Linked DNA regions of Kluyveromyces lactis. The protein of the gene in region 1 purifies or fractionates together with the protein of each later gene. This does not show direct contact. Links are inferred from orthologs where the notes say so. Each region holds a gene or a part of one and is shown in the gene's direction. Other genes may lie near its edges. The genes, in order: RPF1, PUF6, MAK11, RRP15, SPB4, YTM1 and KLLA0_E14257g.

Region 1 (3,993 bases):
TTACTTTGGTAATTTAGGTGAAGGTTGTCAAGAAATGATTAACTACTTTGAAAAACATGGTGCGTCAAAATGTCCTGAGGGTGCTAACCCAGCTGAATGGATGTTGGACGTTATTGGTGCTGCGCCAGGTTCTCATGCAACTCAGGATTACCATGAAGTGTGGAGAAATTCTGATGAATATCAAGCTGTTCAAAAGGAACTAGATTGGATGGAATCTGAGCTACGTAAGAAACCGTTAGATACTTCTTCTGAACAAAGCGAATTTGGTACTTCTCTATTCTATCAGTACAAGGTTGTTACATTACGTCTTTTCGAACAATATTATAGAACTCCATCGTACATTTGGTCGAAGCTTTTCTTGACCATCTTCTCGCAGTTGTTTATTGGTTTCACATTTTTCAAGGCTAACTTATCCATTCAAGGTTTGCAGAATCAATTATTCGCTATCTTCACATTCACAGTTATCTTTAATCCAGCTTGTCAACAATACTTGCCTTTGTTCGTCTCTCAAAGAGACTTGTACGAAGCTAGGGAACGTCCAAGTAGAACATTTTCTTGGCTGGCATTTATCTTCTCTCAAATCACCGTTGAAATTCCACTTAACATATGTTTTGGTACCATTGCCTTCTTCGTTTTCTACTATCCTATTGGTTTCTACAACAATGCGTCATATGCCGGTCAATTAAACGAAAGAGGTGTGTTATTCTGGTTATTCTCTGTTTCCTTCTACGTATTTATCAGTTCAATGGGTCAATTGTGTATTGCAGGTCTTCAGTATGCTGAGGCTGCAGGTAATATGGCATCATTAATGTTCACTATGTCCTTGAATTTCTGTGGTGTGTTTGGTGGTTCTGGTGTTTTGCCAGGGTTCTGGATTTTCATGTACCGTATTTCACCGCTAACTTACTTTATTGATGGTGTACTCTCAACTGGTCTTGCAAACAACCCTGTAACATGCGCAAACTATGAATACGTCAGCTTTAATCCAAGGAGTGGAGAAACCTGTGGTGAGTACATGGCGGACTATATTGACAAGAATGGTGGTTATCTACTAGATTCAAATGCTACGGAAGATTGTAATTTCTGTAAGATTTCTGAAACAAACGCATTTTTGACAAGTTTCCAATCTTCGTACCATAGAAGATGGAGAAATTTCGGTATTTTCATAGTCTTCATTGTGTTCAACTGGTGCGGTTGTGTTTTCCTATACTGGTTGGCTAGAGTTCCAAAGAAGAAGAACAGAGTGGCTGATGAGAGAGACCCAGATCATGGCAAGAAAATTGAAAATGTTCAAAAGGAAAAGGTTGAACCTCAATCCAATGAACAAGTTTAAGGATTTTTGCTTTTTGGCCAATTTTTACGTCGTTTACTTCTGTTTTTTTTTAACTATTAAACTTCATTTCTTATCGTGGGCTTGCGTTCTGCTTTAATATTTTGTTTATTCTGTATATATAGACCTGAATTGATATCTGGTTTCCCCATATATTACTATGGAAACCAAAAAAAGAAACTTCGATTGCATATAAAGTCCCAATATAACTCGATTGCAAGTACGAAAATTATTCAATTTTAGCATGGATCTCTGTTGTGGATGGTCGTTGAGGTAATCAAGATCCTTTGATGGGATATTCGTCAGCTCACCCTTCCTACAATGATTGCAGCGACGAATGTGAACTCTTTTCTTTTTATCGAAAATTAGCTTTCCAAAATTTTGAAAGTTTTTGTATTGATCAGATGAGATGAGATGAGATGAGATGAGGCTAACAAGATAGAAGTTGAATATAGTGGAACATAGCTAGTTATGTAGCTTATTCTAGGTCAAATAGCGAGGGTGCATAACAGCAAATCGGACGATACTATAATTTCAAAATGGCAGTGGATGAACTCAGAATAAAAAACAAGCAGAAGAGGCAAAAACTCTTTGCTGAGTTGAAGGATCAGCACAATAAGGAGCGTCATTCTATGAGGAGGACCAGAGCCAAGGAAGAACGTGAGAATCCGGAATTGAAGGAAAAAAGACTTGCTGAAAATGTTCCTGACACAATTGATAACCTCAGAGTTTACGATGAAACGATGGGTCAAGAAGTCGAAGGTGAAATGGATGATTTTATGAAATTTTTCAACGGTACCGAACCACCAAAGATTCTATTAACAACTAATGTAAACGCCAAAAAGAAGGCATATGAGTTCGCTAATATCCTGATCGAAGTTTTCCCTAATGTGACTTTCGTGAAGAGGAAATTTGGATACAAGCTGAAGGAAATCTCTGAATTCTGTAATAACAGGAACTATACAGATATCGTGATAATAAATGAAGATAAGAAGAAAGTAACGGGGCTTACATTTATTCATCTTCCAGAGGGGCCAACCTTTTATTTCAAAATAAGTTCTTTCGTCGAAGTCGAAAAGATCGTGGGCCATGGTAGACCAACTAGCCATATTCCAGAGTTAATCTTGAACAATTTCAACACCAGACTTGGTAAAACTGTGGGTAAACTATTCCAATCTATTTTCCCTAAGAACCCTGATTTCGAAGGTAGACAAGTGATAACGCTGCATAATCAAAGAGATTACATCTTCTTCCGCAGACACCGTTACGTTTTCAGGAACGAAGAGAAAGTAGGTCTTCAAGAACTTGGGCCCCAATTTACTATGAAACTCAAAAGACTACAAAGAGGTATCAAAGAGGAAACAGAATGGGAACACAAACCTTCAATGGACAAAGAAAAGAAGAAGTTCAATCTATGATATATTTGCATATATTTATATACAAATTCAAAGCCACCTGTGTACTAGTCCTGCACTTGGAGATTTATCAAAGATTTGACGGTATTATCATCACTACTCACGAGGCTGACGAAAAGTGGTGGCAAAATGAGAAATTCCTTGGCTTTAAAGAAAACAGGGCATTGAAACCTTTAAAGGATTTGGAATGTTTTGGGCTTAAATGAGTACAAGCCCACTGTTGAAAAGATTAATTGAAACAAACGGTTACTCTGTTGATCTGAAGAGGTGGTACACTAATTGCTCTTTAGGATTGTCATATTCTTGGTCATTATATTTGATCGATTGCAATCTAAGAAAAAGTATTTTTTCAGGCTGTTTGTTATTGTTGTTTTATTGGAAAGGAATTATTAACACGATCGATCACTGGGAAAGTAAACACTGACAGTAAAAACACTAAGCCACTTTACTCTTTTTTTTGTACACTGTTGCTATTACCTCTCTTTTGTTTTCAGCATCTTAACGTTGATTCTGGACTCATTTTGAAAACAACAGGAAATATCTGATCCAATTCTGTCTTGTAACTAAAGCGAATTGGGAGAATAAACACACTTGATATCATAGCTGTCTCAATTTACCACATCGGTTTCTGATATTTTGAATCACTTTTGATTCAAGAATTACGAGTTCTCTTAAATTATATTAGTTTATAAGCAAGAAAAGGGACTGGGCACAAGTAGAGCAATGGAAAATTCAGGCGCTTCTCAAGTGGTCGCAGCTTTGGAAGTAATTTACGATCCAAAATCAGATAATGCGAAGAGATTGGATGCACAGAAGTTTTTGGACGAAGTGAAAGAGAGAGAAGAATCGCCGTTTTGGGGATATGAAATAGCTCTCAATAACCCACAGAATTCAATATTAAAACATTTTGGATTAGGGTTATTGGTAAACGCCTTAAAGAAAAATTGGTCGGGTTATGATGAAGAAAAACGGATGGCATTAAGAAAGTGGATCATTGAACTAAACTACAGGGTGCAACCGAATGATCCAAGATATATTAGAGAGAAGCTAGCTTTCCTTTGGGTCGAAATAGCGAAAAGGATCTGGGGTGAGGCTTTGAAAGTGGAAGAACCTACTGAGGAACAGCTAGCCGAATCGTGGGTCGATATGGATAGATGCCTAACAGAACTATGGCAGATGAATGAGGCGTCTAGAGAGCTAGTTCTCATAATCTTTAGAACGCTTTTCGAAGACACGTTCTTACTTGAA
Region 2 (5,064 bases), on another chromosome or scaffold:
TAAAGTTCATAACGGTTGGAGAATTTTAGTCGGACTTTCTTTGATTCCAACTGTGGTGCAATTTACATGCTTCAGCTTCTTGCCAGACACTCCGCGTTTCTACGTGATAAAAGGTAACTATAAGAAGGCTGCAGAAGTTTTACAAAAGAGTTACATTAACGCTCCCCAGGAACTTATCGATCAAAAAATCCGTGAACTATCAGATTTGAATGAGGCTATCCCAGGTAAGACCCCTGTACACAAGTTCTTCAACACTGTCAAAGAATTACATACTGTCCCATGCAATTTCAGGGCATTGGTGATCGGTTGTGCTTTACAAGGTATTCAACAATTCTGTGGTTGGAATTCTTTAATGTATTTCTCTGGTACTATTTTTCAAACTGTTGGTTTCGAAAATTCTACTGCAGTGTCTATCATCGTTGCCGGTACTAACTTCGTATTCACTTTAGTCGCTTTCTTTGCGATTGATAAGGTCGGTCGTAGAGCAATCCTTTTGATTGGCTTGCCTGGTATGATGGTTTCCTTGGTTATGTGTGCTATCGCCTTCCATTTCCTAGATATAAAATTCACTGGCGCTGGTGAATCGGAAGTTTCCAATGGTGGATTCAGTTCTTGGGGTATAGTCGTTATCGTATTCATCATGGTATATGCAGCATTCTATGCTCTAGGTATCGGTACTGTACCATGGCAGCAATCTGAATTATTTGCAACATCCGTTAGAGGTGTAGGTACTTCTTATTGTACAGCTACTAACTGGGCTGGTTCCCTAATTATTGCATCTACCTTCCTAACAATGTTACAAAACATAACACCGACTGGTACATTTTCATTATTTGCTGCACTAGCTGCAGTATCTACCGTCTTCTGTTATCTCTGTTATCCAGAACTATCTGGTCTAGAATTGGAGGAAGTACAAACTATTTTAAGTGATGGATTCAACATCAAAGCTTCCAAACAACTAGCCAAGAAGAGAAAGCAACAAAATAGCGAAATGCAAAGGAGATTTAGAGAAAAGGACATGGAAGCTTATCAAAAGGATAAACCCTCCGATGAACTACTTGAAAGTTAATGTAAATGCAGTCATTCCCTCTTATTCTCATACCCGAAGCTACTGTCTTGGTTTTTCAATGAACTTCATATGAAGTTGAGTATATAGATAACCATAAAATCTTTTAGAATTAACAACTATAGCTGCTAAAGTTGTCCACAATTACTACTGTAATATTATCATTGTCATGTGTAAAACTCAACTTGTTTGTGATTTACAATAAAAATCTCGTTAGTTTGAAAGGGTGACATTTACTCATTTCATAATTAACTAACTCGGAAGAGAGAGCTTTCGAGAAATAGAGCTAAATCTTTGAAGCATGTAATAAACTGCCATATTCGGTTTAATCAGCCAAATCCTGTACCAACTGTATATTCCCCCCATCAAAAAAAGAGAGATTCTGGCGAATGTTTATTTGAGTTCTTTCTTTTTAGCATATTATGAAAATTTTCTGAACTTGAAAAAGAAGCGATGAGATGAGATGAGCTTATACAGTAGTAACTGCACTATGGGTAGCATTAAATAACAACATATACATTCTTATTCTCTCTCGTAGGACAATACAGCACTACAGATATGGCAGCCACGTCGAAAAAGTTGAACAAGCGTCAATTGGAATCTAAGGAGTCGAAGGATTCTGGTAAAATTGTAAAAAGAGCTAAAAACATTAGTGTTGATTCTGGCGATGAAGATTCTGATGATGTCCTCCACGGTTTATCTTCAGAAGATGAGCTAGATGATGAATTAGATGATGCTAGCTCAAATTCAGATTCAGACGAGCTAGACAACGAATCTGATCAACTGGATGAATCTGATGAGGATCAAGAAGATGCTGAAGATGAAGAAGATGCTGGAACCGGAAATGATGCAGACAAAAAAGAAAGTAATGGTGTCAGCCAGCATGCCGAACAAAGAAAAACATTAAAGGAGAGAAAACTTCAGCGTAAATCTGGTGAAACAGTCCAGCAGATCAAGTCTTTATGGGAAAGATTACGTGTCAAGAACCCTCCAATTCCAAAGCCTGTCCGTGAAAAGCTATGTAATGAGATCTGGGAACTCTCGAATGATTGTATTGAAGATTTAGTATTGAAGCATGATGCATCCAGAATTGTCCAGACATTAGTCAAATATTCTTCCAAAGAGCGCAGAGAACAGATCACGTTGGCATTGAAAGATAAAATTTATGTTTTGGCCACATCATCATATGGTAAATATTTGTTGGTTAAATTGTTACATTATGGTTCCCGAAAATCTAGACAAATCATAATCGATCAACTACATGGTAATTTGAGAAAACTAATGAGACACCGTGAAGGTGCCTATGTGGTCGAAGATTTGTTTGTTCTTTATGCCTCTCAAGAACAAAGAAATCAAATGATCAGAGAATTTTGGGGTTCAGAATACGCCGTATTCAGAGAATCTCATAAGGAACTTACGCTCGAAGAAGTTTGTGCTTCCAGCGTAGAAAAGAGAAATATTATCGCTAGAAACTTGATTGGTACCATCACTGCTTCTGTTGAAAAAGGTTCGGCAGGTTTCCAGATTTTACACGCAGCAATGAGGGAATACGTCAAAATCGCCAACGATAAAGAAACATCTGAGTTCATCGAACTTTTAGAAGAGAACTTTGCGGAATTAGTGCATACCCCAGAAGGTGCAGAAGTTGCATCTACTTTAATCGCTAAAGCAAATGCCAAAGAAAGAAAGGGGTTGATAAAGACCTTGAAAGAACATGCAATCAAGTTAATTCAAAATGAACACGGTGCCGTTGTTTTCATAACTTTATTAATGACAGTCGATGATACTGTTCTCGTCTCCAAGGCATTTTCCCCACCAATTAAGGAACATCTTCCAGAATTGATTGTTGATAAATTTGGTAGGAGGCCGCTCTTATTCCTACTTTTAGGATTAGATGGTAAATACTTCGGTCCAAATATGAAGAATGAACTACAAAGATACATTAAGATGTCGGAAACTACTTCCAAGAAGCCATTTGACCAAAGAAGACTTGAATTATTAAAAAGGTTCGCACCAATGATTTTATCTGGCGTAAACGAACACTACAAAACCATTCTAGATGAAAACATCGGTTCTCAATTTGTCGCAGATTTACTCGTTAACGATGATGTCTATGAACAACTTTCAGAGTCTGATCAAAAGTTGTTTGCCGAGCTTGTGGACACCGTCGCCATTTATTTCAAAGGTGACATTTCAGAAGAAGACCACCCTATTAACAAACCATTTTCGGCAAGGTTGCTAAAGTCTCTCATTCAAAATGGTAGATACAACGTGAAAGCAAGAAAACTAGAACCTCTAGAAAAAGTTCAGGGACTTGGTATTCCATTTGCTGAAAAATTTTATGAAGACATCATTGATTCCAGCAACCTACTCGATTGGATCAACAAACCCAACAGTTCTTTTACCATTGTGGCATTGTATGAAGCCTTACATGGGACTGAAGAAGGGGAACAATTCGATCATGATTTGAAAAAAGTGATCAAGAAAATAGAGACGAACGATTCAAACAAGGGTGCTCAACTACTTCTAAAGCTAATGAAGCATTGAGTATGTATAGTCAAGTCGTTATATAGTTTGGCTCTAAAATATGTATATTAAAGATGATATAGCTTCTCATCATTGTGGACGAAGGACGTTCTAGTCTACTATTAAGATTCACACTTCCTTAAATGAGACTATCATCTGCGAACCAGAGATAATACAGCTAAGAACATTTATTCCTCAATTCACTAATTACAGCAGTGGCATTGATGGCTTATGAATGACGATACTAAAGAGAAACCCATTTCAACTGCCTTTGAAGTAACCGATGGATTATATGCTGTTTCACCATTAATCGAGAATGTGCCTCATGAATATGAGTACTCATGTATCGAATATTATGGTCAGCACATCTACCTGGGCTCGACTTCAGGAGCGTTACTACACTATTATGAATTAGATGTTGGAAATTTCACACTGATCTCGGAAGTCAACTTCAATGAAGACAGACCAACAGGAATTGATGGCATAACGCTACTGCCGAAAATTGATAGAGCCTTAGTGTTGTCCGAAGGGAGACTCAAAATGTTTCTCCTGCCTGAATTTGCACCTGCTTCAAATATACCAAGTATTATGAATATAACAGAACTTTCACTTTTGGAGTTCTGTGAGAAAACACAATGTTACTCGTGTTTCTTATACACGAAGAACTTGGTAAAGCGAGTAAGCATAACAAGCAAAGAGATAAAAGTCGAACAGAAGTATAACATCAAGAGAATTAGAAAGGCCATTCCTTCAAAAGACGCAAAACTCCTTATGGCAGCTGTTGATAACTCTTACTCGATAATCCATCTTGAAAATGAGCTGGTAACTCCTTTATTCAAAGTGTCTGAGACAGATGATGAGGAACTCTCACCAATTGTGACAAATTTTGGAAAAAGTGAATATATCGTCACATGTGGAATATCAAATGACCAAAACTGTATGGGACTTATATTAAACGATGATGGAGAAATCACTCACGGTACCGTGGTTATAGAAAATTATCCACTCACAGTTATAGTTGATAATCTGTATGTGCTATCAGAATTACATGGTTCTAAATGCCTTCAAATTCATTTAATAAAAGAAAACAACGACCCAGTAGTTATACAAAATGTTAGAAATCAAACCCCGTTTCATATTACAAAGTTGCAGACTCCTTTCATAACGAGACAGTTTAATAAAGAATTAATTGAAAAACTAAGATATGTCCCTTTAATTGCAGAAGAACTCCAATTTCGAGAAGAACAAGAAAAAGCATATGTGGCCAGACAAATTGCGGTTGAATGCCACATGATTATCTACGGAAAATGTGGTATATATTCTTTATGCCGAAAGCCATTTCTACTCACCATTTCGAGCTATGGCGAAGATACTCTTCCAATTTTGAAGTCTTTCATCACTGAAGAGTCACAAAGCAATTACCAGCTTCTTCAAAAAAGCTACTTGCAGTTCCTTTATGTCTTGCTGTTAAC
Region 3 (4,277 bases), on another chromosome or scaffold:
CGGAGCATCCTCATTATCAGAAATTACAATTGGGTTGCCAGGAGACCCAAGTTCCAACGGCGGTGTAATTGACTCTCTGTACACGATCGCAGAATTTCTCACCGACGAGGCAAATGACGACATATCTTCACCCAATAGACAAGAGATTCTAAGCTCGACTCTTTTAGCTATGATAGCTTTGAGGTAAGAATTCCATGTACGGTATAACTCAGGATTTAATCTCTCTGCAAATGATGTTTTATTAGCTGGTAACGTGTTTGACCTGCGAACATGTTTGGCTTTTCTTGAAAGGTTTCTAGAGATAGATGGCCTTTTCACAACATTTGACCCTTGCGGAGAGTTTTTCTTTTTATTCAACAATTCATTAAACTGCATTAAAGGAACCTTAATTGGATGGAGTGTTGGATTAACTCGTAATAGGCTTCTCAATGAATTTTTGGAATAAAGATACATTCTAATGTTATCGGCTGTTATCACCTCAGTTATATCCATTTGAGAGGCGTTGATGTATCTCATGTACGACATCAATTCCTGTTCATTTTGAAACCTAGACCTTTTTCTGAAGTGAGTCTTTTTGGTGTAATTTCTTCGCAGTGAATTAACAGAATTGTGTCTTTGAGAAAAGCCCTTATGGAATATGAACTTCTTATCTTTGTTATATTTCGCATACTCAGACTGAACAGAGAAATCCTTGCGCCTAACTGAAGAATGCGTTCTTTTAAGCGAATTGTGCCTATTCATTTTTTGTTTTATTTTCTTAGAAGAGTAGATAGGCCATTTGGTGAATAAACTCAACAGCGAGTCGTTATTTTGTTCCAAACCTTGTCGCCTATTCTTATTGTTCTTTTCCTGTTCCACCTGGAACTTGTCAAAATCGGTCATATACGGTAAAGCAGTCTTTCCGGCTTCTGGTGGTGCATCCTCCCCAAGCAATGTAACTGTGGGTATGGGTGCTGCGATTGAAGTAACGGGACTCAGTCTAAGACTACGTCTGTAAAGTTCTTCTTCGTATGGACTCAGCAGTAATTTATCATTGGGACTTCTTTCTTCCAACGTATTGACCAAGTGAATATTTTGTTCATTCAAAGAACGTTCTTGCATCCCACTTGTATATATAGCTCTGTTTGAATCGACAAGAGACTCATGTAATCGACTCCCGATGTTATTAGAACTCAAATCGATAACACGCCGAGTATCATTATTTTCACTAGAGTAACTTGACATGGCTTGAAAATTCAGCTCTTATTCCTTTCTTGAAACAGGCTCAAGTAACTTCCCCTTTTCAAGTTGTGAATAGAGAATATTTCTTTGGATTAGGACTGATGAGAATCAGAAAGTGCTATGCTCTAAATGGCCACTCTCGGAAATGGCTAATGAAACGTCTAAATATGGAATAGTAGAGTTCTAAGTTCTAATTAAAGATTTCAAATCCGTATCTAGATCTCTTATTGATTAATGGAGGAACATGTATTTTCCCGATTCAAAGTCTTTAAAGATCAGATCAAGTTTGTCACCAAAAATAATTAGCACAATGCTTGAACATTCATCCTAGGAAATAAAAACGGATTATCCATCAATACACACAACATTGTTTCCGGACCGTTTAAGCAAACAACTCGAACATTGAGAGCCTACACCACTTAAAAAATGCTGCGTCACTTTATTTTCCGCACTTTCTGTCCGAAATCTCATGCTAAAGAAACTAAGCTTAACAAAAAATGCTGGTTGTCGAAAAAAAATACAAACAAACCCTTTGAACATTGGGAATTTTTAATAGATTGAACCCAGCACATTTGAAGGAAAGAAAACCTTTTAAAAAGTTTACCCGGAAATTGAACAGTTTCTTTTTTCTTCCCATCTGGATCTGGAAAGTTGGAAAATTTAAGATTGAACATAGTCAAAGAAGCGATGAGATGAGATGAGATGAGATGAGATGAGATGAGTTCAATGAGCTTTCACATATATAATTTCTTCAACACCGATAAGTGCTCCTTTTGTTTTCACTGTAGAAAGAGAGGTTGAAAAGGTCTTCTATTCAAATGCCGGATAATCAGTTTAGAATCATTGTGGGTTCTTACGAACACAATCTATTATGTTTATCTTTGAACTTATCGTTAACCCAACCGCTATTCACGCCAATATTTCATTTTCAAGCGCACTCATTGAGTGTGAAATGTCTAGACATATCAAAGAGATACCTAGTATCAGGATCGAACGATGAAAATATAAGAATCTACGATTTACAAAAACGTAAAGAATTGGGGACGTTGTTAGGACATCAAGGTTCCATTACGAATTTGAGATTCTCAAGAGGTAAAGATGCCGATGGCCAGGATATCCAACTCAATAAATGGCTACTATCTGCATCTGAGGATCATAAAATAATAGTATGGAGAGTGAAAGACTGGGAAAATTTCGGAACCTTGAAGGGCCATACTGCCAGGATCAACGATTTCGATATTCATCCTTCGAACAGAGTTGCAGTCAGTGTAAGTGAAGATCATTCGATCAGATTATGGAACCTCATGACTGTTAAGAAGGCAGGTGTATTGAAACTAAGGAAATATAATCAAAACGGACAGTTCGTTAGATGGTGCGGGGAGAATGGGTCGTATATTGCTGTTGGTTTGTTGAACAAATTGCTAATTTTCAAGACCGAAACAGCAAAGGTGCATAGAGAAATCGATTTTAGCAGGAATACATTGATGCATCTAGAGCGTGAAATCATTGATGGCGAAGAGTATATTGTTGTTGGATTGAACAGTGGTGCCGTTCAATTCTGGAAAGCATCAAAACTTTACGAAGAAGTGCCAGATGAAGAGGAAGAATCACCTAAGTTGGAAGCTGAATTTTCACTATTGGGTCACAGTAACCGTGTAAAGGACTTTCAATTTTACCATAACAAGTTTGGTCATTATTTAGTTACAATCGGATCTGATGGAAGAATTGTCGTTTGGGACATGAAGACTAGGGATCAAGTTGCGGTATACGATTGTGGTGAAAGATTAAATTGTGTAGCTGTATGCGATGAAAGTATTGAAAAATATGATACCGTTAAGAAGAGAGCACCAGAAGAAGTTGAGGTGGGAGAACCAAGTGACGTAGAAGCTGATCCTGAGGAACTCAAAAAGATCATGCTTGGGAAAAAGGCCAAGAAGAGTAAAAAGAAGGGCGGAAACAAGAAAAGGAAGGTCGAAGTTCAATTAGAATAGAATGCTTCAGTATTGTTTTGTATATATATATATATATATATATATATAACTAAGGCGAATAATATACAAAGTCTCAATCGCGGTCTACATCATAAAAGGACCCTTTAGGATTACTAACAACCACCTTCCCAGAAGATGAGGATACGAAATAGAAAAAAAAAGGTTCAGCTTCTATAGCTTAGATGTTCTACCAACCTTAGCAGCGAACTTTTCATATAGGTTTCTAGCCTTGACCCACACAGAAGCAGTAGCTCTTTGAGGTAACTGCTCCAAGGATGGTAATAGATCACGAGAGAAAGATTCTGAGGCTTCCTTTGGTAACAATGAAGGCAAATGATCAATAGAACACACGGACAATTTTGGACCAACAGTGGTTGGAACTTGTACTGTTGGTGCATCAAACGTAGTGTTGATGGTGTAAATTGGAACAGGGTTATGAGGATTAGTGGTATCAGCAGAAACGTCAACAACAGTTCTCAATCTTCTGGTTGGCTTATTCAATAGTTCATTGTTGATGAAAGGAGGAATAGGCTTTGATAAGTATATACAGTTGATGAAAACATCGGCATCGGCGATTTCTTGGAAGGGACCACCACGAGCAGTCTCCTTCATATCCCATTTGATGATATTTTCTTCTGGCAATCCACACTTACGTAGTAAATCAGCAGCACCAGAACCACATCTACCCAAGGCACCAATAATCAAAACCTTAGGCTTTCTGGCACCTCTCTTCAAAGCTAATTGGTAGTCTCTGCGAACATCCTTGATCATAGCTTCTTCGTTTTCGTATGGTTCAATAGCTCCCAAATTCTCAGAATCTGAGTGGGTTTGCTTGAAAGCCCAGTCTCTGATACCGACTGCTGCGCCGGCAAAACCAGCATAGAACCCAAATGCAGCTACTCTTCTACCTTGGTCATTTTCCAAGAATTCAAGGTCGTACAAAACACCATTACCTCTCTTGAAACGGCTCAAAACATCTTCCCAACCAGCTTGGTTCTTGTAACAATGAGCAAACTGGATGTGTTCGTGAACTAACGGGAAAGTATCAGTCTCTGGCATTTCTTT
Region 4 (3,884 bases), on another chromosome or scaffold:
ATAAGTTTTTCCAGAACCAGTTTGACCATAAGCGAATATGCAAACATTATAGCCATCCAGTGAACTCTGAATCAACTGGCCAACTTCTTCGAAAACGTCTCGATTTGATGCATTAGAGCTGAATACTTTGTCAAATAAGAATCTGCTGTTCCTATCTTCATTGCTTATCTCTATTGCTTGCGATCCATTTCTATTATCAAAGTTAGATACATGAATGTGCGATATATCCTGCACTTCGTTTTCTAAAGGCGGTCTTATTCTACAGTATACTCTGATATTTCCTCGCAGCTCCTGTAGTTCATTATGAAGCTTACGACGCATTGTCTCCTCTTTTATCAGTATTTCATTGATTTGTAAAAGTTCGTTTTTGGAATTAGTGATATACTCATTGAGTTCTTTCCGTTGACTGATAGTTTGCTCTATTTCTTCTTCGACAGTGTCTATTTGCACAGTAATAGATTCCTTGAATACATTCTTCTCATTAAGCTTCTCTTCCAATTTTGCTAGCTCCTTTTCTAAAATGTTACGTTTGTCTTTAGATTGATCCAATTCATTAGTCATGTCATTTTCTATATCTTGACTTAACTTGTTGATATCCTTAATCATGGACTGATTAGCTTCTGTGATATTCTTCCATTCCGTCTGAAACTCTACCATCCACTTCTCTTTAAGATTTGAGTATTTCTTATCAAGTTCTTCCTTTAATTGGTTAATGACATTGTCATTATTATTTACCTCATCGTTTAAGTTATGTATGTCCTTCAATAAATGTTCCTTTTCTTGTTTAAACTTTTGAATCTTTTCAAATTCAATCTGCTGCACTTCAAATTTGAATTTCGACTCTGTTTCATTCATTTCACAGTGGTATTTTCCCTCTATCTTCTTTATTTCTAGATCAAATCCGTTTCTCATAAACTCTAACTTCAATTCATGATCTTGATCCATGCTATTCAATTCATTCTGCTTTAACCCGATTTGTCGTACTTTCACTTGTTTCTCCTCTTTCAAATTGTTCATTTTGAACTCTACAGTTTCCACTTTGCTTTTCAACGAGTTCATCTCATCCTGTGCGGTATTCAACTTGATCTTTTTTCTGGACAACTCTTCTTGCAATCTATTCAGTTCTTTCAGGTTTTCTTTGTAAAAGAATGTCATATGAGTTGAGCTTCTATTTTCAGTACTGGGCGTGAGAGACCTTCTTCTGTTTATACTCTGTACATCTTCTGGATTCAATCTTATCGACTGCCTTGGTTTGTATTTTGGTGAACTTGAACCCTGCTGGGTTGGAGAAGGTATATTAGAACCGTCCTTCGATGAACATCTTTCTGGCGTTGACGGCGGTCCATTCATATTCCGTTTGATTATCAGCCAACCAGTTTAATTTAGTCAAACCCACTACCTTATTACACGTCTTTTCCAAAGCGGTACTGGTTTATATACGTTCTTCAATTGCTATGTCTCCTTTGGTGTTTCAAGATTGTTTTGTTTTCGGTTGATCTTATTATTTGTTTACATCTTTACTAGTATATGTGACATATTTCGAAACTGAACCGGCTTCAGTACACAACAAACCTTCTTTGGGTAGCTTGAACAAGTAGAGGAACCATTACAGATACACCACACTCCAATAAACCCAACAGTCGGGGAACCACAGGCTAGTAAGAGAGTTCAGCTTCAAGTTTCTTATGACGGCGGCTCCACCAACGTCAAATTTGCAGTGGTGTATGGGTGTGTTGATAGAATGTATTTCTTTTTGTTAGTGAACATGCCAAAAAAAATTTCAGTGAAGCACAACTCATCTCATCGCTTTCAAGACTGTATCTGGGCCTTTAGGATCCATCATTGAATTCACACTATCTCAATAGAAGGTTAACTTGCCGGTAGATTGTGCAGTGGACAGCTTTGTATTGTATAGCCGCCTGAAAATACTATGAGTAGCAAGGGTAAAGTGACAATACCTGTCACCAAAAAGAGCAAGTTGAATGACAAGTCTGCAAAGATCAGGGCTCAAACGAAAGTCAAAGAGAATGAAGTATCACAATTGGCTGATGAAGTAGATTCTGATGTGGATTCTGAAGGCAGTACAGGTTCCGAAATAGATAACGATGAAATGGATCTAAATGAAGTGTCGAGTGATGACGCCAGTGATGAAGACAGTGACGATGAAGATGTGGTGAACCAACCAGATGACGATGACTTCCCAAGAAAGAAGAAGTCTTCCAAATCCAAACACGATGATGGATCATCCACATTTTCCAGCGCGTTAACCAATATTTTATCATCGCATTTGAAAGCATACGACCGTAAAGATCCCATTATGGCTAGGAATAAGAAAGTTTTAAAGCAAAATGAAGCAGATAAGTTAGAGCAAAAGGCTAAGAGAGCTATACTCACAGAGAAGAAACAACTACTCAATAAGACTAGAAAGAAAGATATTATACCTGTTGTGGCTGCAGACGCAAACTCGGATGAAATTAGAGAAATTCTTGAGAAGGAACGTAAACTAAGAAAGATTGCCCAGAAAGGTGTTGTGAAGTTATTCAATGCAATTCTCTCTACTCAGGTTAAGACTGAAAAGGAAATCAATGACTCATTGGGTGGTGTGAAGAACCGTTCAGAGAGAAAAGAGTTGATAACGGAGGTTTCCAAGGAGAAGTTCTTTGATTTGGTGAAAACTGCTGGTGACAGTTGAAAAGAGGAAGTTCTATATGATAGAGGGAATCATCTGCATTTATTAAAGCGCAAAACTATGTACATATATAGGTAATCCCAAAGACTGTATAATAGACTAATAATATTATTAATTACAACTTTATCGAAAAAAGATCAGATCAGGTCAGATGAGGGATCAAAATCCTAACCCTCCATTTGAATATGCCATTGGTTTAATATCTGGATGTGGTGAAGCAGAGAAAGTTTCTATTACCAAGTCGCTGTCGATAGATGATTTCTTTTCAGATTTTGTGTTTGGAACAACATGAATGATTGCACCGAGGTTGCCACCGGCGTCACAGTAGTTAGGAGCACTGAAAACAGTGACCAATTGATTCTCATGCTCAAATTCGTAACCGCCTTGTCTAACTTCATGAGACCTGAAGATTCGCTTTAAATTATTCTGTTTCAAGAACTTTCTAGTAATGTCAGGCCCAAACGCATTACTTAAGCCACGAGGAGATGGTCCAAATCCATCCGGAGCCTGTGGATCCGCCCATAATAACTCCATAAATGTTCCCTCTCTTGGTGGTTGGTGGAATCTATCAATTTTCTTCATATCTTCTACAGTGGCAGAAGTATCACTTGGCAAACCACCATGCACGACCAGGTATGAACTATTGATGACAGTGGCTAATGGTAGAGATTCGAAGCTTTGTGAGAAAAGATCGAAAATGCGCTGGGAGTACTTGTATTTGCATTCGTCTTCAAACCCGTACACTTTATTCATGCTGTTGGTTTCATGATTACCTCTGTTCAAGTAAATGTTCTGTGGATACACGATTTTCAAAGAATAGAATAAAATGGCCACTTCACAAGACCATGATCCACGGTCTACGAAATCACCATTGAATAAATATACATTGGAGCCGCCTACTTTCCCATAACTTTTGAAGATGTTCAGAACATCATAAAATTGACCATGCGTGTCACCACATACAGAAATTCTTGTATCCGGCTTTTCTCTGTTATCAAGTTCAACAACACTGTTTTCTTGCTTGAACAAATAGTCTGCATGAGAAATGATCGCTGCAACGTAAGCCTTTGGAAGCTTTTTACCTTCTAGGAAAATCTCATTAATCATATAAGAAATGAATTCCTGGTTCATATTGTTAACTCTGACACCAGCATTGGCCCCAGAATCTGACTTCACTTGTTCGAATTCCAAGGTT
Region 5 (4,805 bases), on another chromosome or scaffold:
TATTACTATTGTTCATTTTGGATTACGTGTTTTACGTTCCCTGTATTTTGCGTTTACTGTTTCAAAAGAATCCATCAGGTTACGATCAGACATTTTTTGATAAACATTAACAACTTTCCCGATACCATCGCCCACATTTATAACAGTTTTATTCTTAATAGTGGCTCTTGGTAGATTATCCTTGAATATTTTGGCCACTGAAGCCTTTAATCTATAGTTCAATTCTACAGAATTTACAACCGACGAGGAGCGCGATGCCTTATCAGTCGTTTGATCAGGTACTATCCACTCCATCGGCGAAAACTCACATTCGTAAAGAATTAGAGGAATATCGCTAGCCATTTCGTAAATTGGTTTTCTGGGCATCTTTTCTATATCCAACATTTCTTTGATTAGATTGGGATCTTCAAGACCTTGGCCAACGAGAAATAGATTAGCCACCATACACCTCACTTGATGCCACAAGAAAGCTGAACCTACCAAGTCAAAGCAGTACATGTCTTCGCTGACGTGCATGATATTTGAACTTTTAATTGTCCTCTTATAATTTGTAATCTGTTTTGAACCATCTAATTTGCAAAAGTTTCTGAAATCATGCTCACCTTCATAGTGTTTGGCTGCCAGTTGCATCCTTTCAAGATCCAAACCCTCTGAGCTGAACAAGTATTTGTAATGTCGACTTTTACAGCTGAATCTGGCATCAAAACCTTTTGGTGGCCGTAGGCAAACTGCAGATACTCTGATATCTTCTGGTAAAATCTGGTTTAAAATATTAACATATTGAATCTCCTTGTCGTCATAGCTGGGATCAAGCTGCTCTTCTGCAGTGAGATTCGAACGAACTCTCAATGAAATTACTTGATTCATGGCACTAACGCCTCTGTCTGTTCTTCCACATCTACTAAACTTATATTCTTGAGGAACCATGGACGGAACAAGTTTGCATTTATTCATGGTCTCTAATATCGTACCCTCGACAGTAGGTAAAGGAGTCGCATCTTTTTGAATTGCCAATCCGTTATAGTTCCATCCCAAATAAGCAAACTTGAAGGCGACAAACCGTGTGTTGTATTTGGAGAAGTCGAATTCCCTTGATTTCCTAGGTTTCTTGACGTTCTTTCTTCTCTCTGCTTCAACAGCAGCGTCCGCAGATCGCTTTTTTACCTCAGCCACGGTATCTGAGTTATTTCCTTTAGCATCACTACCATTTTCACTAGTATTTTCCAGCTGTAGCAATCGCTCAATCAACTGTTCCCTGGTCCAATTCTTATAAGCAGACTGGTCAGTGGACATTGCTGACACAGTGCCTTTACCATCTAGTTTGAAAAGTTTTGATAAAAATCCCATCCCAGTATATGTAGTCTTGAAAGAATTATATCACAAGGCTAATATAACTTCATAGAAGTTTAACAAATAGATCATATCAAACAAATTTGAATACAAATTGTTATGAATGGAACAACCATCGAGAACAACGCCGCATCAATGCCAATCAGCATTAAATGCAAGTTTGTACAGATTTAATGGAATTTTTTTTCTTTTCTATTGGGATGGCAGCTGGAAAGAAAAAAAATAAGTTCAAGCTCATCTCATCTCATCGGGAAAATGTATCCAGATTAAATCAGTGTGAACATATGCATACATTTGAAATCCAGGAGTAAGATTTGACCAACAAGGTATAAACTCACCACTCCAAAGCCTAGTCTAAAGTTTCGAACTGATACAAAATGTCGAAGTCGTTATCGTGGGACGATTTGAAATGCGAGATACAACCATGGATTAGAACGGCTATAGAATCGATGGGGTTTGAGACCATGACGCCAGTTCAAGCCTCAACTATTCCGTTGTTCTCTGGTAACAAGGATGTCGTGGTAGAATCTGTTACAGGATCTGGTAAGACTATAGCGTTCGTGATTCCAATTTTAGAAAGGTTGATAAAAGAAGAAGCCAATTCGGCCAAATTCAAGAAATCACATTTCCATTCGTTAATCATTTCACCAACCAGGGAATTAGCCAGTCAGATTCATGATGTGATAGAAGACTTTCTGAAGTATTATCCAGATAATCTGTACCCAATACGGTCGCAATTACTCGTCGGAACAAGTAGCGCTAGTGTTCGAGACGATATCAATAGTTTTACAGATAACAGACCCCAAATACTAGTTGGTACTCCTGGGAGAGTCCTAGATTTTTTGCAGAAGACTAATGTAAAGACTGCTTCCTGTGGTACCGTCGTGTTAGATGAAGCTGATAAGTTATTGGATTTGAATTTCCAGAAAGATGTAGAAACCATTTTAAAGATGTTGCCGAAGCAAAGAAGAACAGGGTTGTTTTCGGCAACAATCGAAAGTGCGGGTGCGCAAATCTTCAAAACAGGTATGAGAAATCCAGTGAAAGTTGCTGTGAAGTCTAACTCGAGCGCACCTTCATCTCTTTCGATAAACTATATCGTCATTCCACCTAAGGATAAATTACAACTATTGTTGACTCTACTCAACAACTACAGATTCAAGAAATGCATAGTTTACTTCCCGACATGTATCTCGGTCACATATTTTTACGCATTCATAAACCATTTGAAAGAGCTTAATTTGATTCAGGATGATCTAAAACTCTTCTCACTACACGGAAAGCTACAGACGCAATCGAGAATGAAGACGCTTGACAGTTTCACTTCTAACTTGACCGATGCCGTACTATTCACCACAGATGTTGCTGCTAGAGGGATAGACATACCAGATGTTGATCTAGTTATCCAACTTGATCCACCAACAGATGCAGATATATTCATTCACAGATGTGGTAGAACAGGTAGGGCTAATAGGATTGGTAAGGCACTTGTGTTTTTAAATGAAGGTAGAGAAGAAGATTACGTACCATTCCTGGAAGTGAAAAACGTCAAACTAGAAGAAGAATCTGTGGAACTGAAAGGCGTAGAGAATCTAACCAAAATATTCCACGATTGGATTTTACACGATAGAGCAAGATTCGATCACAGCGTAAGAGCATACGTTGCATTTATAAAATACTACTCAAAGCATACTGCATCATCGATCTTCAGATTCCACTCCATGGATTTCATCGGCGTTGCGAACTTTTACGGGTTGTTACGTCTGCCACGTATGCCCGAAATAACCAGGTATGCTGCCGACCAAATTCCGGAGGAAGGTTGGTTGGTATCACCACCAGTGAATTTAGACACATTTGCTTACTTAGATAAACAAAAGGAGAAGGCGAGGTTACAAGAATTACAAAACCTCAAGCAAATAAGCGATAAAAAGAAACTGAAAAGTGAGCTAAAGAAGAAGAACATGGCATGGTCCGATAAGACACTAACTAAAGAAGCCAAAGCTGAAAGAAGAGCAGCTATGGCCATCAAGAGGAAGGCAATTGAAGAGAAACTTCTGCGGGGCGATGAGGAATCAGAAGATGAAGTTGAGCAAGACTGGAAAGACCTTGTAAGACAAAACAAGAAAAAGAAGCATAACTCCATGCAAGGAAGTTTCGATGATTTATAGTCAATTACATATCGTAGATAAATCTATTATAATATAAATGTGCTTGTTTCATTCGAGTCCCCGTCATATAACAATGTGTTTTCAACCGGTACATATTGATGTGTCAATAATTTCACGCATTCTTGTGATACCATTGCACCAAGAATTGATGCCATCGCAGGGCTGACAAACGTTGTATCATGTCTATCGTTTTGTAGCGATAGCAACTTATTGAACTTCGGTTTTTCACTTATAGTTCTAGTTGCCGATGAGAGGCTACCCATTTTAATTGCATCCAAATGTTTTAAGTTCTCGAGCATTTTATCTATGAGTGGTTCAGGTATCAAACTATAATTCTCCTTTGCTAGAATGCGCATGATTTCTGATTTATCCTTGGCAGCTTTACGTTGATATACTGCTTTCTGCGCGTTGAATAGTTTAGTTGAGGATTCCATATCTGGAATGAATGCGGACACAGGTAAATCGCCTCTCAAATCGTAAAATATTCTGATGCATCGTACAAATTGGTATACCCATCGATTAATTGTAGAATTAGGTTCAGCATGAAAACTATTCAAGATGTTGGTCAAATTGTGAGGAAATGGTCCTGATTGATCGTATAACAGGAATGAGGACCTCTCTGCTTCCACAAAGTTCAAATCATTGGTCAAGGGTCCAGAGAGTATAGAATCGTGAAGTTCGATGAACTCTGCCCTCACTGATTTTCTATTGATAGGAATATTCTTTGACTTTAATGATTTTCCCACATTGTACAGTAGAACGGAATAAGGCAAGGAGGATACCTCTTCCTGTGACATATTTTTTACATCGAATGATTCGTGATATTCTGCTAGTTCAGGCCACATACGATTGAGTCTTAAATCGAAAGTGAAATGTCCATGAGAATCAATGACACAATGAGGTTCACTGCCTATAAGACGAACAAATCCCAAGTTATCGTTGGTGGATGCCATTATCAGAGGAACTGCTGAGAGTTTCATGACACGTTGTAACAACGGACCAGCCGTGCACAAACATATGACAATAGAGAAAGAGTTCCATAACTTATGTTGTGAATCAATTGGAACTGCATTCTCGTTCCAAATATGGAACGTAACATCTGGATTCATACTTTCTAACGCATCAAAACCTAAAATATCCGAGTTTGACTTGTTCACAAAATCTGATCCATTAGACGAGCCAAAAACTACAGTAATCTCATGAATACCCATGAGAGCCAAACTCTTGACACATTCTCGCATCAACAATGTCTGATTATCGTCTACAACGCACACATGAGACTGAGAA
Region 6 (4,436 bases), on another chromosome or scaffold:
CTGAGATTCCTTTACGGATTTCGCCTCCCCTCATCAAGAATACATTAACTATACCTGCTGATACAACAGCTGCGAAGGGTACAAGACGTCCCAAGATCATTTTAGTGTTTGCTGATAGATGTTTCAGCCTTGGAACTAGTTTGTTCAAACCTACTGCCACACCACACGATGCAGTGACGGCCATAGTATAATTGGTAATCAATTGAGTGGTGGACATAGGATGAGATTTGTTTGCATTGGCCCCATTAACAGCAACATTCAATGATTGATTAGCCCATTGCCAGAACAGGGTACCAGCGGTACCCATATTAGGAGTTAACATACCAGCAGTAACTATCAGATTTGAGGGCACACAACAGGACATACGGAATGGGAGAAACACAGTTTCACCAGTATCAGGATGAACAGTAGAATCTAGCTGTTTCTTTGCATGCCAGAACTCAGGCGTCGTTTCTTTCAACTCTCCATGGCGATATGCACTGATGATTTTGCGAGCTTGTTGAAGATCATCACTGCTCGTTAACAACATCGTTGGATCAGAAATCTCTGCGCAGTGACGAACACGTCCCCAATAGGTGCTTAGATCATAACGAGATTCTGGTAGGGCAATTGGACCTGGGACACTGGATGCCATGATAAGCTGTACTCAAGTGTATCGAAGTCTTTTGGATGAGCTGAGCTTCTACGAGACAAACACGACTTTGTTCTTGCTTAATTACTTTCGAGATGAGATGACTCTTTAGATATAAATGCATTATTCTCTCGAGCTTGCATTTTTTTTTTTCATTCTGCAGCGTCAGAATGATACGTACGGCGTTACAAAGCTGCTGGAATTCTGATAAGAAAAAAGACAGTAATTATTGATCTAGCAATAGGTTATTATAATTCTCTTATTCTCGGAGAAACTGTACTAGTGAAACGATGATGATTCCAACCACTTCGATTTCCAATTTAGCAATAACATATTTGTCTTTGCCCTAATCATATTCTTAACATGTCTAAAGGTAATATGATAATTTACCCGGACAACTAATTTTCTCTGCCTGAAAAAAAAAAAGAACAGACATCCAGTATAAATTGAGAAGCTTTTCACCTTGAGAAAAAGACAAGGTTAAAGCAAGTACTCTAAGTTAATCAAATTCGAGTCGACTGTTCTTTTGATTATTTGGCTTAAAAAAGTGATACGAAACATATTAATGCCTTCTATTCACTGTGCCATCTGATACACCGTAGATGAACAGAGGGGAAAAGAACGGCTAGATGAAAATTCTATCCGCGAGCGTACCTCATACTGATTAAAGTACTTAACTATTTTTCATCAATTGGCTTTAATTGGTAGCTGCGTGAGCGGGACATTCTCTATCTCTTGTCACTCCTGAATTTACTTATACTTGTATATACCATATATTACTCGTGAAAATGTTTAGTATTACACGGTCATTAGTCTGTCACTTAGCTATTGGTGTACTGACTAATTTCCACTACCCGGTTCCTTAAAACATATACACGTGACTGGCATTTATTTCTGGCGGATTTCTTTTTCGAGCAGTGGTTTGTTTCCCAAAAATTTTCCAAGCTCATCGCATCTTACAACGCTTAGAAAATGTACAAGATAGGAAGAATAGAGTTAACGCGCTCCATCGTACCTCAGTAACAACGTGCGATCACAATCTATTAGACAATTCAAACTAGAATTCACTGGAAGAATATCTTAGTTATAAGGAGAAGTAAACTGTAGGGGAATATGTCAACAGATAAGACTCAGGTGAAGCTACGCTTCTTTACTCGTGAAGAAGATGAGACTTTACATGTCAATGATGCTCCAATCTATGCTCCAGTTAGTCTAAAGAGATATGGTCTTTCTGAAATTGTTAATCACCTACTGGAATTACCTAAATCTATGCCATTTGATTTCCTTATCGATGGTGAACTTTTGAGAACATCGTTGCAGGACTATTTGATCAAGAAAGGTTTATCATCGGAAACCTTTTTGAATGTTGAATATACTAGAGCAGTGCTACCACCTTCATATTTGTCTAGTTTTGATAACGAAGATTGGGTAAGCTCATTGGATGTCGGAAGCAATTACATCTACAGTGGTTCCTATGACGGTATCGTAAGAACGTACAACTTGTCAGGGAAAGTCGAAAAACAATACAGTGGTCATTCTGGCCCTATTCGTGCTGTGCATTACATTTCTAGTACGAGATTGGTGTCCGCAGGGAATGATCGCACTCTACGTCTGTGGAAAACGAAGAATGATGATTTGAAATCAATTGATGAAGAAGAAATTGAGGATGGTAAGACATTGGCCATCTTGGAAGGTCATAAAGCCCCTGTAGTGTCCATTGATGTTTCGAAAGACCGTATTCTATCTGCATCATGCGATAATACGGTGAGCTTGTGGTCCACGAATTATAAAGAGATGACTGTCATTGATCCGATGGAGGATTTAGGAGGCAACGTGTCTACTGCAGCCAAGAAGAGGAGAAAGTTGACTCTAAAAGATGGATCTATCAGAAGAAGAGCCCCTTTGGCTCTTTTTGAATCTCACAGTGCTCCAGTAGAGGCTGTCATTTTCGATAAATCGGATGATACTGTTGGGTATTCCGTGTCACAAGATCATACTATAAAAACATGGGATCTGATAACGGCAAAATGTGTCGATACAAAGACGACATCGTACTCACTTCTTTCTGTTGCGCAACTACCAAAATTAAATCTCTTAGCATGCGGGTCGAGTGCCAGACACATTACTCTTCATGATCCTCGTGTAAATTCTTCATCTAAAATCACCCAACAGCAGCTTGTAGGTCACAAGAACTTCGTTGTCGCTTTGGATACTTGTCCAGAAAATGAATATATGATATGCTCTGCATCTCACGATGGAACTGTCAAGGTTTGGGATGTTAGGTCTAACACTGCAATGTACACTATCACCAGAGAAGATAAAAATGTTGTTAAAGGTGTCAATGATAAAGTGTTTGCTGTCAAATGGGCTAAAGGCGTAGGTATCATCAGCGGTGGTCAAGACAAAAAAATTCAAATTAATAAAGGTGATAATATATTTAGTAACTAATCGTAATTTTATATATTATATACAGGAATTATGCTCACTAGTTCACTTAAATATAAAAGAAATGTACCACAAAAAATGTTGAGAAACAACATAGTATTTGCAGGGTTCTAATGTTAATTATCTTTTTAGTTCCGAATGGAATTTGGCTAGACCATAAAACCCTTGGAATAAGGATTCGTAGTCTGTTAGGTAACCATTCAAATTTTTAACATCAACCTGGTTGGAATGATCTTCCCATCCACGTAATTTACGTAGTCTTGCTAGCTCATCGTATGTGAATTGTACTAGTGGTCTAGTTCCGTATTTCAACGGTCCAACATTAACCCAGTGTAAACGTCCTGTACAATTGTTAGAAAGCATCTCAATAGCATTGAAGTAATCAAACATGTTTGCTGCTGTGTCAATAAAGAATGCAGAACATACTATTATATTTTTGTATTTTTTCTCTGGTTTATAGCAGCAAAAGTCACCGAAAAGTACTGTTAAGTTCTCTGGCTTTTGGAACTTATCCAAGTCCATCCTAAAGTGCCTGGTTTGCGCTTCCATACTTTGTTGACCACTATAAATTTGATAGAAGGGATCAACGGTGATATTGTCCGTAGTTCCGAGGACATATTCGTTACACAAATACATCAAAGACGAGTATTCAATAGATGTAACCTTTGCTTTTGGAAATCGATTGGCTGCCTCATAAGCTAGCCTTCCACATCCAGATCCTGGTACAACAATTAATGTGTCTTCATCGATGTCACAATTTCCGAAAGACTCCTCAATGAAATCTACAAGAGGCTTTCTTTCCAAATCATAAACATCACACCAATCTCTGACAATGTGACACATGGCTTCATTCACACGGCTTTGGTTACTCTTTTTAGAAAATCGAATGGAATTTATTGAATCGCGAACCAATGTGTCATTTTCTTTGTCCCATGTATAACCAGCGTCTCTCAGTACTGATTCAATTGCTGAGTTAAAATCATTGTTAACAAGTATTTCCTTTAGAGTATATTCTATAATTTTGCTCAAGGTGTCATAATTTACATCAATTGATTTGTTCACGGCAACTATTTTATCGAAATAACCGATCTGGTTAAGCTGTTCTATATCACTGGGAGTTACGTTGCTTGTTCGTTGATAAACTATCCCGTTTTGTCTTAGAGCTCTGATCTTGTACTCACACAATTGTGATAATGATGCAGCAATATCTTTAAGTGATTGCTGCTTCGTAAAATAAGGCGAATCGACTAGTTTGAAGTTAGCAGAGACCGGTGGATAAGACTGTAATGTTGTTAATGATTTTTCCAACTTTGACACAAGCCAGTTCTTAAATGCTTTATTTCTGGTAAAAGATGCCATT
Region 7 (3,800 bases), on another chromosome or scaffold:
GACTTATCTGTCGTTGAGATAACAGTGGAGGATCCGAATGAAAGCTTCGACGATTTGAGAGATCGTTGTGATTTTGAAAGAGTGATTAACAAAAACTCTTTGGCAGATTGTCCGAATGAACTACCTATAAATATAGATTGGATTACCAAGAAGCAAGCTCAGTTAAAATTGGAGAAGAGACAGTTCATGCGTATCTTAGAAATGTTCCTTCTATATCAAAAGTCTCCTAACTATAGATTACAATTAAAAAAGAGAATTTATGAAAAGAATTTTGAGGCTCTTATGGATATGGATGAGAGCCTGAAGAAAGATAAATTACAAACGGCTTTCCAATCCCTAACCGAAGATTACAATCGTATTCTCTCTAAAGTAGCTATCAGAAAAAGGACATTTTCTGACTCGCAAGGTGAATCTGACAAAAGACTCAAAGCATAAAACGTCGTAATGTCTTCTTTGGATGGTTCACTTGTCAAACAAGCTGGTAACTAAGACTTATTACTTCAACTTCATGAATTGTCAAATTAACATGCGAGAATTCTTTTCTCATTTAGATAAATAGAAATCAAAGATAGTTAGTCCTTTTTGGATTATCTTGAGTTTCGACCACGATGTCGTGGATTACTAGCGCCTTAGCGGCAAGAATTGTCTACTGCTATTTTACTTTAAGAGCTTTCTTCATTATAAGAAGAATAAGTTAGGCCTGATATTGATAAACCAAATCTGTACTACTGGTAATGTATTAACCGCGATTAAATTGAAAAATAGCAAGTTTTGAGAATATGGTACTGTCTCTTATTGAACAGGATACTGTGAAGTAGTGACATTAGGGACTTGGTCTAGAGGGATAGTGATGTAAAAGTTGATGATGGACATTTCGATCTCCTGATCGGGTTTTTCTGTACTTTCTGGACGATAACCTGGGGATTTAATTAAGAGCTTCGCATGTGTTATGTAAACTATTTATGATGTTCTTTGGTTCTTCTTCGATATTCTTCTTGGTATATGCCGTCTAACATACATATAAATGTAGAACAATGATAGATATATCGTCAAATTCGAATGGAAGAATTCGATGAAGAAAACTCTATTTATATATTTTCGGGATTTGTTGATCAATAACAATATGCTATCGTATAGATCCTAGTTCATAGCGGCTCCAGTAGTATATTTACTGCTTCTGAAAAAAAAATGACACCTTAGAAGTTCTCTCACAACTCCATACAATAACATCTCCACTACCTTCTTCCCGGCTTAATTTTTTAATATTTATTATTAATTTCCTATTGAAACAGAAAATATATTTATTTTTCGGAATAGTAAAACTATACAATATTTTAAAATAAATTGAATTAAGTTTTATTTAAATTAAATAGATAATTATAAAAAAAGTAAAAATTTATTTATTTCTATTATGAGAAAATTAATAGATATTTTCTCTAGAAAAATAAAAGAAGAATTAAAACTAATTTGAAATTATATTTTATTTGCACGTGATATATATACATCACTTTGTTCACTACTGTCTTGTTTAATATACAACATAACTATATGGATTATCATTATTATTACTATACTTAAAAAGACAATTGAAAGAAAAACTAATATCATTCGGATATCTGACATTTAAACTCCAGCACAGTGTACCTATATTACCTTATACTAGTCGTGAGTTGTGTACTCTGTATCATCTTATTGTTTCTGATCATTTATTCATTTTCTATCATTATTATATTTTTTTATATTTTTTTATCTAATTTAATTTATTCTATTTTATTTTAATTGTTTATTCTATTTTTTCACATTGACATGCAGGAATTCAAGAAATAAAGTGTTACCAAGCGAAAAGAAATAAAAATAAAACTTTTCGATGATGAATTGAGCTCATCTCATCGCTTTGGTAGAACACTATCACAACTACTACAAAAGCACAACTGGACTTGAATTTATACCTCTGGGTACGCTGTCTACTAGTTAAACCGCGAGACAAGTCTGAATTTACAATAATCAGACTTATAGAAGAAAAATCCTTGACGCATAACAATCCATCGAACTTGAAAGATGGCTCCCAAACAATCAAAAACGGCTAAGAGATCCAAGAAACAAAATGGAACGAGGGAAGTAAGATCAGAAGTATTCGAGGACTCTATTGCCAAAAATCAAATGGCAAACGTGCCTAAAATGACTGAAAAATCTGATACCAAGAAACCAACCAAGTTACAGGTGAAGAAGGATAATTTCAAAGCACGTCTATATGGTAGCCAGAAGAAGAAGGAAAGACGCTATACCGAGAAAGAATTAAATATTCCAACACTTAATAGAGCGATTGTACCTGGTGTAAAAATCAAAAAGGGTAAAAAGGGGAAGAAGTTCATCGGTGATCATGATTTAATAGCGTTAAACAGATTAATCAAAACGATAGGTGATAAAAATGATGAAATAACAGAGAGCAAATTAGAGAAGACAAGGAGACTCGAAGAAATTCGTGATCTAAAGAGACAAGAAATGGAAAGAAAAGAAACCGAAAAGAAGGAACAACTAGAGGGTAAGAAAGATGAAATCAAGAAGAAGGCATCCGTTGCCAGAACTATTCGTAGGAAAACCAAAAGGCAAGAACTGAAACAAGAGACATTAGCAGCTCAGTCTGAACCTATCAAGAAGAAGAAATCTGTCAGCTTTGCATAGTTAATACATCAATTTATATATGCATATGTGTGTATGTAAATGGAGGAATCGATAACCTTTTAGCATCGATCATGTGACTAAACATATTAAAAACATTAGATTACCGTTACTGTAACAACTGGAGTTAATCAGCGTTTCAGCCTCAACACAATTTTGGTGTCAGCAGCTGTTCAAAGATTCGGATATGAGGGCGCATGTGTGTATCCGGCTGCCATGTCGGTCTTCTATTTTCTAGTCATTGTTGATGATGAGAGAACAGAGACATTTCAACGTTGTTGGGGACTTCCATACAATGCAGATTGAAAAGTGGGACATTCTTACGATTCTGAAGCCAGATGATAAAAAAAAAAAAAAAGAAAACTGACGCTGCTCTGCCAGATACCGTTATTGACAAGATGCTTTCAGCTGGTAAACACAAGCACCATTTTTTTTTACGTGACTTAACTATTCTGAGTTCATCTAGTATTCTGGTAAAGCAACGGTCAAAAACTCATCCCTTCAGAGTTTGGCATGTGATTAACAAGGAGGAGACAAAAGGGTCGTCAATTTAACCCGTTCCAAATGCAATGATCGTCGGTTTATTCTTTTTTTTTTTGTCAACTAGTTGTATTTAATTTACAAAACTGTCATCATTTTAACCTTCTCCACATTCAATAACATTTTAAAGGTCATAATATAACGTATGAGAGTTACACCTCTTTCGGTGCCGAATAGATCAATAGATCGATTAATTAGCAACTGATTACCGCGTAAACCACTTCATTATCACGATTTATAAAGTATATAAATGATGGTAATTATAGATCTTATCGAATTTTGAAATATGGACTTCAGTTTTGCACTGACGTCTTCCCTTATTTTATGTATATTTGAATATTTCGAAATAATAACAAGGCTGACTCAGGAACAATCCTCAAGGCACATTATTTATATTATCAATTATTTTCGGCATGATGCTCAAAAACTTTACGCAAACTAGATTGTTTCATTCTAGTAGACATCTATTGAATTTGAAAGCTGCAATTGCTGACGTTATACCAAAAAGAAGAGAAGAATTACTACATATCAAGAAGAACTTTTCGGATGTGAAAGTTGGTGACATTACTATTGGCAGCGTT

What was found.
Region 2: the proteins of RPF1 (region 1) and PUF6 purify together in Saccharomyces cerevisiae (affinity purification with mass spectrometry; 4 studies listed by BioGRID, with this or other methods). This does not show direct contact. The link is inferred for Kluyveromyces lactis from reciprocal best matches to the Saccharomyces cerevisiae genes RPF1 and PUF6.
Region 3: the proteins of RPF1 (region 1) and MAK11 purify together in Saccharomyces cerevisiae (affinity purification with mass spectrometry; 3 studies listed by BioGRID, with this or other methods). This does not show direct contact. The link is inferred for Kluyveromyces lactis from reciprocal best matches to the Saccharomyces cerevisiae genes RPF1 and MAK11.
Region 4: the proteins of RPF1 (region 1) and RRP15 purify together in Saccharomyces cerevisiae (affinity purification with mass spectrometry; 3 studies listed by BioGRID, with this or other methods). This does not show direct contact. The link is inferred for Kluyveromyces lactis from reciprocal best matches to the Saccharomyces cerevisiae genes RPF1 and RRP15.
Region 5: the proteins of RPF1 (region 1) and SPB4 purify together in Saccharomyces cerevisiae (affinity purification with mass spectrometry; 3 studies listed by BioGRID). This does not show direct contact. The link is inferred for Kluyveromyces lactis from reciprocal best matches to the Saccharomyces cerevisiae genes RPF1 and SPB4.
Region 6: the proteins of RPF1 (region 1) and YTM1 purify together in Saccharomyces cerevisiae (affinity purification with mass spectrometry; 4 studies listed by BioGRID, with this or other methods). This does not show direct contact. The link is inferred for Kluyveromyces lactis from reciprocal best matches to the Saccharomyces cerevisiae genes RPF1 and YTM1.
Region 7: the proteins of RPF1 (region 1) and KLLA0_E14257g purify together in Saccharomyces cerevisiae (affinity purification with mass spectrometry; 3 studies listed by BioGRID, with this or other methods). This does not show direct contact. The link is inferred for Kluyveromyces lactis from reciprocal best matches to the Saccharomyces cerevisiae genes RPF1 and LOC1.

The regions. Positions count from the first base shown.
Region 1 is NC_006042.1:2,011,492-2,015,484, reverse strand, and holds RPF1 (rRNA-binding ribosome biosynthesis protein RPF1), read left to right. Parts: upstream 1-1,869; coding exon 1,870-2,748; downstream 2,749-3,993. Other genes in the region: KLLA0_F21692g (pleiotropic drug resistance family ABC transporter), read left to right, coding at 1-1,333; karyopherin MSN5, read left to right, coding at 3,469-3,993. UniProt on the Saccharomyces cerevisiae protein: Essential protein. Required for biogenesis of the 60S ribosomal subunit.
Region 2 is NC_006039.1:1,047,489-1,052,552, forward strand, and holds PUF6 (pumilio-family RNA binding domain-containing protein), read left to right. Parts: upstream 1-1,624; coding exon 1,625-3,613; downstream 3,614-5,064. Other genes in the region: myo-inositol transporter ITR1, read left to right, coding at 1-1,069; CORVET complex subunit VPS3, read left to right, coding at 3,824-5,064. UniProt on the Saccharomyces cerevisiae protein: RNA-binding protein involved in post-transcriptional regulation. Component of the ASH1 mRNP which transports the ASH1 mRNA to the distal tip of the bud, where the ASH1 protein is translated and targeted to the daughter cell nucleus.
Region 3 is NC_006041.1:715,437-719,713, forward strand, and holds MAK11 (Mak11p), read left to right. Parts: upstream 1-2,039; coding exon 2,040-3,212; downstream 3,213-4,277. Other genes in the region: NIS1 (Nis1p), read right to left, coding at 1-1,224; LYS1 (saccharopine dehydrogenase (NAD+, L-lysine-forming)), read right to left, coding at 3,384-4,277.
Region 4 is NC_006038.1:956,451-960,334, reverse strand, and holds RRP15 (rRNA-processing protein RRP15), read left to right. Parts: upstream 1-1,930; coding exon 1,931-2,692; downstream 2,693-3,884. Other genes in the region: KAR3 (Kar3p), read right to left, coding at 1-1,350; PPT1 (protein serine/threonine phosphatase), read right to left, coding at 2,849-3,884. UniProt on the Saccharomyces cerevisiae protein: Constituent of pre-60S ribosomal particles. Required for large subunit rRNA maturation, in particular processing of the 27S pre-rRNA at the A3 and B1 sites to yield 5.8S and 25S rRNA.
Region 5 is NC_006041.1:1,267,174-1,271,978, forward strand, and holds SPB4 (ATP-dependent RNA helicase SPB4), read left to right. Parts: upstream 1-1,727; coding exon 1,728-3,518; downstream 3,519-4,805. Other genes in the region: pseudouridine synthase DEG1, read right to left, coding at 13-1,347; ULA1 (Ula1p), read right to left, coding at 3,545-4,805. UniProt on the Saccharomyces cerevisiae protein: ATP-binding RNA helicase involved in the biogenesis of 60S ribosomal subunits. Binds 90S pre-ribosomal particles and dissociates from pre-60S ribosomal particles after processing of 27SB pre-rRNA.
Region 6 is NC_006039.1:646,316-650,751, reverse strand, and holds YTM1 (Ytm1p), read left to right. Parts: upstream 1-1,744; coding exon 1,745-3,079; downstream 3,080-4,436. Other genes in the region: FSF1 (Fsf1p), read right to left, coding at 1-634; KLLA0_C07403g (uncharacterized protein), read right to left, coding at 3,197-4,436. UniProt on the Saccharomyces cerevisiae protein: Component of the NOP7 complex, which is required for maturation of the 25S and 5.8S ribosomal RNAs and formation of the 60S ribosome.
Region 7 is NC_006041.1:1,261,501-1,265,300, reverse strand, and holds KLLA0_E14257g (Loc1p), read left to right. Parts: upstream 1-2,058; coding exon 2,059-2,682; downstream 2,683-3,800. Other genes in the region: histone acetyltransferase catalytic subunit HAT1, read left to right, coding at 1-435; citrate (Si)-synthase CIT3, read left to right, coding at 3,633-3,800. UniProt on the Saccharomyces cerevisiae protein: Required for efficient assembly and nuclear export of the 60S ribosomal subunit. Involved in asymmetric localization of ASH1 mRNA.